Drosophila melanogaster: one gene and its partner. Changing the gene in region 1 together with any one later gene gives a genetic interaction. Each region holds a gene or a part of one and is shown on either strand. Other genes may lie near its edges. The genes, in order: Atg8b and Ire1.

What was found.
Region 2: of Atg8b (region 1) and Ire1, changing one suppresses a phenotype caused by changing the other (phenotypic suppression), as found in Drosophila melanogaster (one study listed by BioGRID).

The regions. Positions count from the first base shown.
Region 1 is NT_033777.3:17,723,755-17,727,119, reverse strand, and holds Atg8b (Autophagy-related 8b), read left to right. Parts: upstream 1-2,056; 5' UTR 2,057-2,209; coding exon 2,210-2,572; 3' UTR 2,573-2,710; downstream 2,711-3,365.
Region 2 is NT_033777.3:19,855,147-19,863,304, reverse strand, and holds the start of Ire1 (Inositol-requiring enzyme-1), read left to right. Parts: upstream 1-2,013; 5' UTR 2,014-2,290; coding exon 2,291-2,419; intron 2,420-2,543; coding exon 2,544-2,658; intron 2,659-5,620; coding exon 5,621-6,064; intron 6,065-6,122; coding exon 6,123-6,345; intron 6,346-6,402; coding exon 6,403-7,672; intron 7,673-7,759; coding exon 7,760-7,924; intron 7,925-7,986; coding exon 7,987-8,158. Other genes in the region: CG4572 (uncharacterized protein), read left to right, coding at 1-583; Mrm2 (mitochondrial rRNA methyltransferase 2), read right to left, coding at 910-1,662.

The DNA of each region.
Region 1 (3,365 bases):
TGGCAGCTCTGGCTGATTATTTGTATTTCGAATCAACACCGAATAGTTAGCAGCCGTTCAATTGGATTAAATCCACTCTGACGACTCTTGCATTCCATTTAACTAATTCCCCTTTGAATGGCGGACACCAAGTTGGAGTAATTAAACCAGGCGGACACGATTAAGTGGGAGGAACGCCAAAGATTCTGGTCCAGTGAACGCAATGCTCTCATATTTGGACCCTAAAAAAAAACGGTTATGGTGTCGTTTTTAACGAATTATTGTTAATTGCCGCATTAACAACATGGTAAAACAAGTCAGTTTGAGTTTATTAGGCGCAAGTCGCAATATTGTTCATATAAATCAAATTAGAATGTTCTAGTTCAGTGGCCAGAAAAGCTTCAATTTTTACCTACCTACCTAATTGCTCTGTTATTTCTTATGCACTTTTCACGAGAAAAGGAGAAAACAGATACGCATTTGTTTTATAAATCAAATTAGCTTTTGCCAGTTGGCTGACCGCAAAAACTCGTGTGTGTGTGTCTCCAAGCCAACAAAGTGCATTTTAATTTGTTTTAAAATTGTATTTTGTGCGTTTAGAAAGCGCATGGCCGTTTCTATCTATCCAGTCAAAGAAATCTCTCTGATTTTTGAAGTCTATTAGCATGGACTTATTAGCAGGTATGCGGTAACCACATCACAAAATCCGTACGTTTCTATCGAATCTCAGATCATCTCACAAACGAATGGGCTCTGGACTGCACATTTCTAGGTGAGCTAAAGCAACACCATTAGGGCGATTACTTTTGCGGATTGTGGAATACAATTGGTGATTTGTTTCGCACCCGTGAGTTTAATTAGCAATTGCCGCACACAATCAGTACACAGGCACACATAGATTAGTTGCCCGTGTTTATGGCTAATCGCCACTAAAATCAAGAATCAATTTTGGGCAAAATGAAAATTGATAACTTTATGGCCTGGTTTTTCAGCAAACACACACAACACATCAAAGGAGAGATCGTGGGACTAACAATTTTTTCGACCATCACATGAGCGTATAAACTCTGAATTATAATGGATTTTCCGAAAGATTATTTCACACACACGCCTTTTTCTAACGAATCGAAAGGGTCCGTTCTTGGACATGTTGCTCACCGGAAGCGTAAATATCCCAGGTATTTTGCAGTTGTCTTCGTCCGAACTGAAGTGCACCTGTTGCAAGGGATTACGCCCAGGCCACAACCGGAAACCAGCGATGCACGAACTGCTCCAAGTAGTAGTACTGTGAAGTAGAACGACAAACTGAACTGCCGAGGCACCGAACGCGAACAACCGAGCAGCTCCAGCAGCTATGGCGGAATGAGAGCTCCAGCGCTGTCCGAGCGACGAGCAGCCAGCGACGACGGAGCCCAACAACACATCTGCTCCAGCTTTGCGTGTGTTGCGTGCATTGTTGCCGTTGCGGTCGGTACAGGTAAAAGCTTTCGCAGTTGTACGCCCCCAGCACATACACTTGTTGAGCTCCCTTGTGGTCAGCGCCTTGGGAGCCTTGATTGTAACGTCTTTGGGCCAATTGTCGCCTTGGGGCGGCCTGCAAAAAAAGGTTCATAGAGCGGTGCCAACTGCAGGGATTTATATAGTTTTTGTCGTATTACAAAATATTTAATTAAATCAATGAAAATATATAAAATAAATGCGCCAGTGAAGTATGGAATGGAAAGTTTCTAGCCCGAGGAGTCCTGCACAGCACATTCGTAGTGCGATTCCAAGGACACAATTACAATTAACAGTTTAAACGGTAATGGGATACTTCAAATTAATTAATTGGAGCGATGCATGAAAACGATACAAGAAATATGTGTGTAAGCACCATGAAAGCCCCTAGGGAAATTTGGCACTCATATATAAGTAGTTCTTCTTTAATTTAGAATTTCCAACAAATTTCGTATGTTCCTGATTGGTTAAAGGTATAGATATACTTTTCCATGAATAGGAATGAATACTAAACCTGATTACAATCACATTTTCCCTCTCCCATTTCCCATTCAAATCCGAGAAGAGCAGGCACTTTTCTATCTGCCAAAGCTATCTGTGCAGTAAAGGTGATAAATCATACATAGTTCCCAGCAACTCAGGCCGGCAGCTACATAAGACCTTCGTACCAAATCCAAAACGAAAACCCATTTTTCGCTCCGTTTCGATTCGAACCGTATTCCAGTCCGCCCAGATGGATATGAACTACCAGTACAAGAAGGACCACTCGTTCGACAAGCGCCGCAACGAAGGCGACAAGATCCGGCGCAAGTATCCGGACCGTGTGCCCGTCATCGTGGAAAAGGCGCCGAAGACGCGTTACGCGGAGCTGGACAAGAAGAAGTACCTGGTGCCGGCGGACCTGACAGTGGGCCAGTTCTACTTTCTCATCCGCAAGCGTATCAATCTGCGTCCCGACGACGCCCTCTTCTTCTTCGTAAACAATGTGATCCCACCGACATCGGCCACCATGGGTGCACTGTACCAGGAGCACTTCGACAAGGACTACTTCCTCTACATTTCCTATACCGATGAGAACGTCTATGGACGGCAGTAGACGCGGGCTTGACTCGCGTAATCGTTTTGGCGGTCGGTTGAGTTTCAATTGTCATTTTTTGCCATTGGCACTACTCGCTCAATAAAGAATGACTGCTCCTAGCCAGCTAACCAGAAGCAGACAACGTCGTCATCACATGGCACATGCTGGGCTAAACAATAATTATCGCAGTATGTGCTTCCCCCGCGTTGGAAGTGGGTGCATAGCATCCGCTAATCCCTTGCCCCTGGTCTTGCCGCAAAAAGTTAATTGAAGCGCTCGAAAAAACATTTAGTGGACTCACTGCTTCGGCTTAATTATAATTCACATATTCGATAGCCGTATGGTTTGCTTAAGTTCACTAATTGATGAAAATATGAGACATAAAACCAGTTTAAATCGGGCAAAAGTGTGCTCCAAAGGCGTGCAATAAGATTCAACAAGTTGGTTTATGTGTCGCATGAAGCCAAGTCCAATGTGGTGAGACAAACTTGTTGACACCGTGTCCATGGATTAGCGAAGGAAATTTTTATATCATAATTTCGAATTGATTTTATTTCTGTTTTATTCCGTCAGACACCCACCCACAACTTCCAAACCCTTTGATATACAGCTTTTGTTTATCAAACTAATCTACATGGGCTGTATTCTTCGAAAACTTCCAGATGGTTATATGGAAAAAGTAAATATAAATATATGGGTTCACAAATAAATTCGATCTCCCTCGCGTTTAAAAATTGGAAAGTTCAATAATCAAATTGATTATATTTCAAATGAAGAAGTTGTTCATTTGACAGAGATTACAAACTGCGTA
Region 2 (8,158 bases), 2.1 Mb from region 1:
TGAATGCATTAAGAGTCACGACATGGAGTGCGCCTTCGACGTATTTGATTCCCTAATCAACGGGGACCTTACCAATGGCTCACTGTTCAGCAACCTTACTGGATACAACTGGTACTACAACTACTTGAAGACGCATGATGATGATGGCGCCAACTTGGGCGAATTTCTGCAGGCGGGCGCCACTCGGCGGGCAATTCATGTGGGCAATAAGACATTCCATGATCTGGACAAGGAGAACAAGGTGGAACTTCACTTGAAGAAGGATATCATGGACTCGGTGGCCCCGTGGATAGCCGAACTGCTGGCCCACTATACTGTGTGCATCTACAGCGGGCAGCTAGACATTATTGTTGCCTATCCACTGACGCGCAATTATCTCAACCAACTAAAGTTCCCCGGCTCGGACAAGTACAAGGTGGCTCCCCGCGAAGTGTGGCGCGTTGGGAAGGAAGTGGCCGGCTATGTCAAGCACGCCGGACATCTTGTGGAGATCATGGTCCGCAATGCCGGGCACATGGCTCCTCACGATCAGCCCAAGTGGCTGTACATGATGATTGATCACCTTACTCATTACAAGCACTAGGAAATGCGTACTTAAACTATTCAGTACAATTTGGAGACCAAATTTAAGCCTTTGTTTTTAAAATTAATCATGAATAATTTGGTGTGAGTTTTGAATGCATAAATATGTTGATGAGAGCATTGGGTTGTTAATACTCAACTAAATTCATATAATTTGTTACAGAACTGTATATAACAACAAAGATTAAAACATCAAAAAGAAAATCAACAAAAATGTTGAGATGAAATTAATCCTAGGTTACTTCCCTTTAGTTATTCTATCCAATATAAGCTACAGTCAATTAACAAAGCTTTTAATTCAACTAGTCCAAAAAACGCAGTTAATAATTAACTATCCGTTGCTCCTTTAAAGTTCCTGGCCACCAGGAAGTGCTCGGCGGAGTCTCCGCGGCTAGCGCGCGGTTTTACTCTCTTCACTTTCTCATAAAACCTAAGCATATCTCGCTCCAGCTTGGGCACGTCGCCATTATCCCACACCTTGACCACCAGATGGGCCTGCGGAGCAGACATGGCCAGGGCAAAGCGCAGCACCTCGTAGCAGAGGTTAGTGATGCTCTCCTGGTCCAGCATCCTCACTCCGGTGGCATTGGGTGCCATATCGGACAGCACGCAGTTGACCTTTCTGTCTTGTAACGCTTCCCTCAGCCGCTTTTGTGCCAGCGAAGAAGTGAAATCCATGCCGCCAAAGATTGTGGCACCCGGCACAGCATGGAAATGCAACAGGTCGATGCTAAAGACGGCTCCCTGTGGCGCCCGCTCCTGCTTTCCGTTGGCATTGGTCCGCTCCACGGCCACCTGGGTCCAGCTGCCAGGAGCAGCTCCGCATTCCAAAACTGTGTCTCCGGGCCGCAGTATTCCGTATTTGTCGTCGATCTCCAGTAATTTGAAGGCACTCCGGCAGCGATAGTTCATCATGCGGGCCTTCTCCACGTACGGATCCGCCAGTTGGCGCGTAAGCCACTCCTGGGAGCTCTTGCTCCGTCCTTTGAGGTTCCGCGGCTGCTGTTTGGCATACTTTCCGCCTATTTCCGTGTGCAGCAGGCGTTTAAAAACACAATTACCCGTAAAAACAAGACGCATTGTGTAATATCGAAATTAGATCGCCTATCGATTTTTATCGACCAAAGTCAATACAAGTTCTGGGAAGTTTACACTGCAAGCGCAGAAACTCCAAAGCTCACATTATATTACCACGTATATGTTACAATTTTATCCATGTTGGAATAAAAAGATCTTTTCACATTTAAATTGATTTTATGGCAACAGCGATGGGTAACAATAAGATTTCCATTGCTGCCATCTCAAGCGTCAGTGTGAATGGGATATTATTTCGTTGCATATTTGGCTCGTTGCGTGCTCCCTGGTCACACTTCAAACCAGTACGGTCTTTTCCCAATTATCTGCCCACTGTCACTCTACTCCGCTCACTCGACGAACTCTCAACTCAACAATGGCGAACGTAATTGGAAAATATTGAACGCGAGTGCGAAGAAAATGTGAAATTTAGCACGGCCAGAGCTGCAACAGTGTTTGATGATTGAAAAGTTTTGAAAAAGAGGCGATAATATGCCACAAACAAGAAACGAAAACTGACTAAACGTGCAAACTGAATACGGATCGGAAATAGCAGTAACTAGTTCCCTCTCTCTTTCGCTCTCTTTTCTCTTCTAATACCCCCGCCCCGCGCCCTACCGGTTGCAAAAACAAAATGAGATTCTGCGTTGTTGTTTGTTGCGTGTTATTTTTGCTGGCCAGCGGGCTTATTGCATCAGCTACAGCAAAATCACAACAGGGCGACTCGGCAGAAGTCGTCAGCAGCGGCGAGGATGAGAAGACGGTAAGTGGGGGCGGCACTGGGCCGTATGACCCACTAAGGGCTAACACTGGACTACCAATGAATATTTCATCACCTTGCCCGATATGTTGTTCATAAGTTTCTCTCGCTCTTCCACAACCCGCAGGACTGCACGGACCTCGCCCGCGACGAGGAGGCGCTGATGGTGTTCTCCACACTGGGCGGCGGACTGACAGCCATCGATCCGGTGACCAGCGAAATACGCTGGACAATAGCAGATGGTAATTACGCGGGCACTCCGCTGTCCTCCACACTCACTGCACCCCTATTTTCCGGCCACAAGTGTGGGACTCGAAACATATGATGGGCAAAGAAGGGTCCTTATTATCAAAAGTGGGAATTTTCCAGCATATATCTCGGGAAATGGGTGTTTTTAGGTATCTAAATACTTTAAAGATAAAAAAACAATATGGTTTTGTTATTGAAAACATTCGAACTGGAAGCACTAAGATCTTTCATAAATGCAAAGTCAGGAAAATTTAATTGTTACCGAATGCCACATTAAGAATATTTTTGTTTTGTTTATTGTTTTGCTCATTGAAATGTGAGAATGTTTCTTTAGACCATTTAACAGCTAAATTTAAATCGTTTTATTTGCGTTTATTGTTGTTTTAAGCTAAATCTAGGAGTCTTTTTTTTTTAGGGAAATTGCCGCTTTATTTGCATAGTAGATTTAAAGATCTTAAGAGATCTAGCTATATATATATATTTATTCCCATGCTGTCACCACCCCTCCTGGAAAATTGCCACTTCACCAGGCTGTTGCACTCGCCGTTTGAAGTGCGAAATGCGTAGCACATGCATGCGCTCGATGAGCTCATCGCAGATTTCGTATCTGCCAGATGTAAGAGCCTAGGATAGATCTTTCCACCGCCTTTCGTGCTCTATTATTTTCACTCTCGCCATTAATGTTGTGTATTGTGCTGCGGGCCTGATAAGGTCCCGCGTCTAGCGCAATCTCGACAAGCGTTCTCGGCACACAATTCCACCAATTAAGTTGCCAGCCAGTGCGCCATATCACCAGTTGCTGTTCCCCCATACCCTTTCCGCAGTGGGTGGTTGGGACTTTGAGCCATTTTCCATTCGGTTCATTGAATATTCCCATAATTTCTCAGCGTGACGTATTGATTTTCGGTGGCTCTCAAGTGCGTTAATCTTGTGGTCATTTGGCTGCTTCGTATTAACCTCTGAGATTAGCTGGCATATATAAATGAGTCACCAGGAGAAAGATGTTAGTAAATTGCGCGATTAAAGGGGTTAATGTGCATAGCTTTCGTTTGAATTGGTGCACTTGTTGGCTACCATTAGTATTATTATGTTTGTTTAATGTGTATAGCATTCAATAGATCACTAAAATGGGGCTTCACTTATCTAATTAAAAAGTGAGGGCATTTTCAATTCGAATTATCGAATATTGCTTATAAACCTGGTGCTATTTTTATTTTCACTGGCTTTGTTGATTGATTTTCCACTTCAGAGCATTCATATTCGCCTGATAAGTAATGCCTCAAGAACTTCCTTTAATTACTCCCCAACTAAGTATTGGAGTTATGCCAAATGACTCTCTGTGGACAATACGCCCTCCACATGTTTGTTTAATTTCTGAAATAAAAAACCCACGCCCCGTGAAGATTATTTTATGTGATAGCTGCAATACACATGTATGTCCATTCGTATTATTAGAAATTTCATGCTGCCCGCTTGTCGCCGGGCTTCGTGGAACTGCAAATGATTGAAAATTCAGGGAGACAAACATGTGGACAGCATCTGACTAGCGGTTTCATGGCAGAGCGCACTATTTGGGCAGTATTTTTCCGAGTCATTCAAGCCAATAATATGTTTTTGATTCGCGGTAATTACACTGTTTCGCCGGCTCTAGCACAGCAGATCGGTGTACCGATTTGTTAGGTTCTATTACCTCATCACGAGACGGAATCAGGTTTTGTCTACGACTACCGCTAGGCAATTAGAATGCTCATGCTAATGAAAGTGCTGCGGCGAGTTAAATGACCTGCCCCAGAAATTGCGGCAACATTCGGTTAATGCCGGGAATGTTTTTGGGGTTGCAACTAATTATTGATAAGAATGGACAGTACATCGAATTGTTTGGTTTCATTACTCGATATTGGTTGACGACCATCTTTCCTGGCAATACTTGAGTTTTGTTTAAACCATTTCGTCAATATCGTGCATGCGATGATGGTCTCCATTTGCATTCGACAAAGTCAGAATTTAACGCTGTTGCCTCGCGCGAATTGTTGGCGATAACAGAAAGAAATTGCCAACACGACTGGCGTAAACACTTTGGATTTGATCAGCCAGCCATGGGTCCCCCAGGTCTATTTCGTATTTACCCAACTGCTGTTTGCTTTGGCTTTGTCTGCCGCGCCAAAAAGCCGCTTAATTTATTCGGGCCTTTTGGTGGAAAGTGTTCACGTTCTTTAATGTGCACCAGAAAATGTGCTCTCCGCTTGGGATGGGGTTAATGTATAGATTACATTTTCGTTCCCATCGGTATAAGTATGTACATACATCAGGAGATAAGCGTTATCGAGAACAGGTTCTGGTTATAATTTATTATATTTCCCTTACTTTACTCCACGTTAGTTGCACCGATATCAGGAACTTTTTATTGGAATTTGTTTACTGTGCACACTTAAAATAATTTACTGCAAAAGGGGTTCATCACTCTAAATTGAAAAGATAATAATAATAAGTATACTTGCTAACTAAAGCTGAGTATTGAATAATAATCTGGAATTCAGAAATTTCTGCTTAAACTAAAATTTTTAATTGATAACAGTGGGATTTTTTAAAATTCGTCAAAAATAGACATGAAATGTTCATTACTAGTTAATACTGGGTAATAAAAGGAAATAAAAAGAAGCAAAATAAAACTAAAAATATTGTTATTGCCGGCTAGTCAAATGTGTTTTTGGCGCGGAGTATATATATATTAGGTTATCTTGTCGTAACAAAACAACTTGTAATGAATTCGATGCAGTATGCGATTTGAAAGTTTAACACCACTCGGAATACATTTTGTGTGATTTTGCATATATTGTGCTTTTACATGGATGCAAAGGAATCGGACTTTATCACGATTTCGAATTTGCAATCATGTTTATTACTTTGTTTTTCTTTTATGATTTTACTTTTAAGCTATAATTGTATTTCTTTTAGATCCTCCTATAGTAGCAGAACATCAGGAGAATGTTCAGGTTCCGCACTTTCTGCCCGATCCTCGAGATGGCAGCATTTACCAGCTGGGTCAGATGGGCAGTCTTAAGAAGTTACCGTACACCATTCCCCAACTGGTGGCCAATGCTCCCTGTCGTTCCTCCGATGGAATCCTGTACTCAGGGAAAAAGAGCGACACCTGGTATATGGTGGATCCTAAGACGGGCAGACGCGAAAAGGTTATGGGCTTTGGCGATGCCACAGTGGATGGTAAGGAGGGCGAGCAGATCGGCTGGGCCACTTCGCGGGCCATCTATCTAGGCCGGACTCAGTACACGGTCATGATGTACGACAGCCTGGCTAAGAACAAGGATGCTAAGCCATGGAATATCACATTTTACGACTACAATGCTGTGAGTGCTCCTCCTGAGCTGGCCAAGGAATATGGTAAGTGCATCTCATAATATAAGAGTGTACACATTTGCTTATGATCTCCCGCACGCAGAGTATATACATCTGACCACCACCACCAATGGACAAATTGTGACTCTGGATCGAAAACACGGTAAATTTCTGTGGCAGCGCGATCTGAGCAGCCCAGTGGTGGCTGCATTCCTTTTGGGACCAGACGGGCTACTCAGTGTGCCATTCACCACGGTCTCTGATGAGGCTTACCAGGCCATCCTCGAGGAGTCGAAAACAGGAAATGTGAACACCGTGAAGCTATTGTAAGGGACATACGATATTCGTCCTGAATTCCATATTAATTGTAATATTTTCAACAGCCAATCCCTTTATGTGGGCGAACATCAAAAGGGCTTGTATGCCCTGCCTTCGCTGGTGGACAAGAACACGCCTCGTATTTCCACAGCACCACCTATAAAACTCCTGGATGGACCTACAGGAGACCAGAACAGCAACCAAGAGACAGATCCGCGCACCATTTACATTAACGATGTGCTGCAAGAGCATGCAGGAATTATGTTGGGACACTACAACATGCCCAATGAGGGTAATGGTAACCTGCAGCTGTCACCGACGACAGCCAGCAGCAAGGTGGTTCAAAGTCTGGCCACCATTCACAACTATAACGATGGCTACGGCCTGTTGGCCAATAATGAAAAGAACGCCGCCGACATTGGCGTGCAAACGGATCCCGAGCTGGTCGAAATTGGCATTGATCAGCGGACGAATGGGAACACCATTAATCGGACGAAGACAATAATACTGCAGAACAGCAATAAGGTGCAGGCCTTTATCAACGAGTGGTTTATGGAGCATCCTAGCGGAAAGGTGCATCAGATTCTAATTGTTATCGTTCTGGGTATGATTGCCTTGTTCTGGTACACCTGCAGCACAATGAGGGAGCTGCAAAAGCAGAGCGAGAATGGTTCAAAAACCTTTGCCATAGCCCAAAATGGATCCAATGGAAGCACTGGCAGCAATGGTAGCAATGCGAACGCTGAAGACCTAGTGGACTTGGGTAATGGACAAGTGCGTGTGGGCAAGATCAGCTTCAGCACAAATGAAGTGCTGGGAAAGGGCTGCGAGGGTACTTTTGTCTTTAAGGGCACATTCGAGGAACGTTTCGTAGCCGTAAAACGGCTGCTGCCCGAATGCTTCACCTTTGCTGATCGCGAGGTGGCCCTATTGCGAGAATCGGACGCGCACGAAAATGTGGTGCGCTACTTCTGCACCGAACAGGATCGCCAGTTCCGCTACATAGCCGTCGAGCTGTGCGCGGCCACTCTGCAGGACTACACCGAAGGAGATCGCTCGCTGGAACTTCAAAATCACATCGATGTTTGGCAAGTGTTGAGCCAGGCTGCATCTGGACTTAGTCATCTTCACTCTCTCGACATTGTGCATCGCGACATTAAGCCGCAAAATGTTCTTATTTCTCTGCCAGACGCCAAGGGCAAAGTACGTGTCATGATCTCCGATTTTGGGCTGTGCAAGAAGCTGAATTTTGGCAAGACTAGTTTCTCACGCCGATCGGGTGTAACAGGCACCGATGGATGGATAGCCCCAGAAATGATGAGATCACAGCGAACGGTACGACATGATTTTTATTATTACCCTACACTACTTCTTCACCATCACAAGAACTTTCTAAAATCGATGTCTTTCAATTATTTACAGACAACTGCTGTGGATATATTTTCCTTGGGCTGCGTTTATTATTATGTTTTAAGTGGCGGTCACCACGCCTTTGGTGACAATCTGAAGCGACAGGCCAACATACTCTCCCACGAATACAATCTGGCCAAGCTGCGCCCAGAGGACGACAGTGAGGACAGCCGAATTGTAGGTTATCTTCACCAAAAAGTTATAGCTAGTTGTTCTAATTACTTCATTTTATTTTAAAGATCCTTGCTGAGCAATTAATATCGGATATGATACACAAGGATCCGCAATCGCGACCTCCAGCTCGTTGTATCGGAAATCATCCGCTCTTTTGGGATGAGCCTAAAATGCTCTCGTTCCTCCAGGATGTCAGCGATCGTGTGGAGAAGTTGCAATTCCATGCTGAACCGCTCA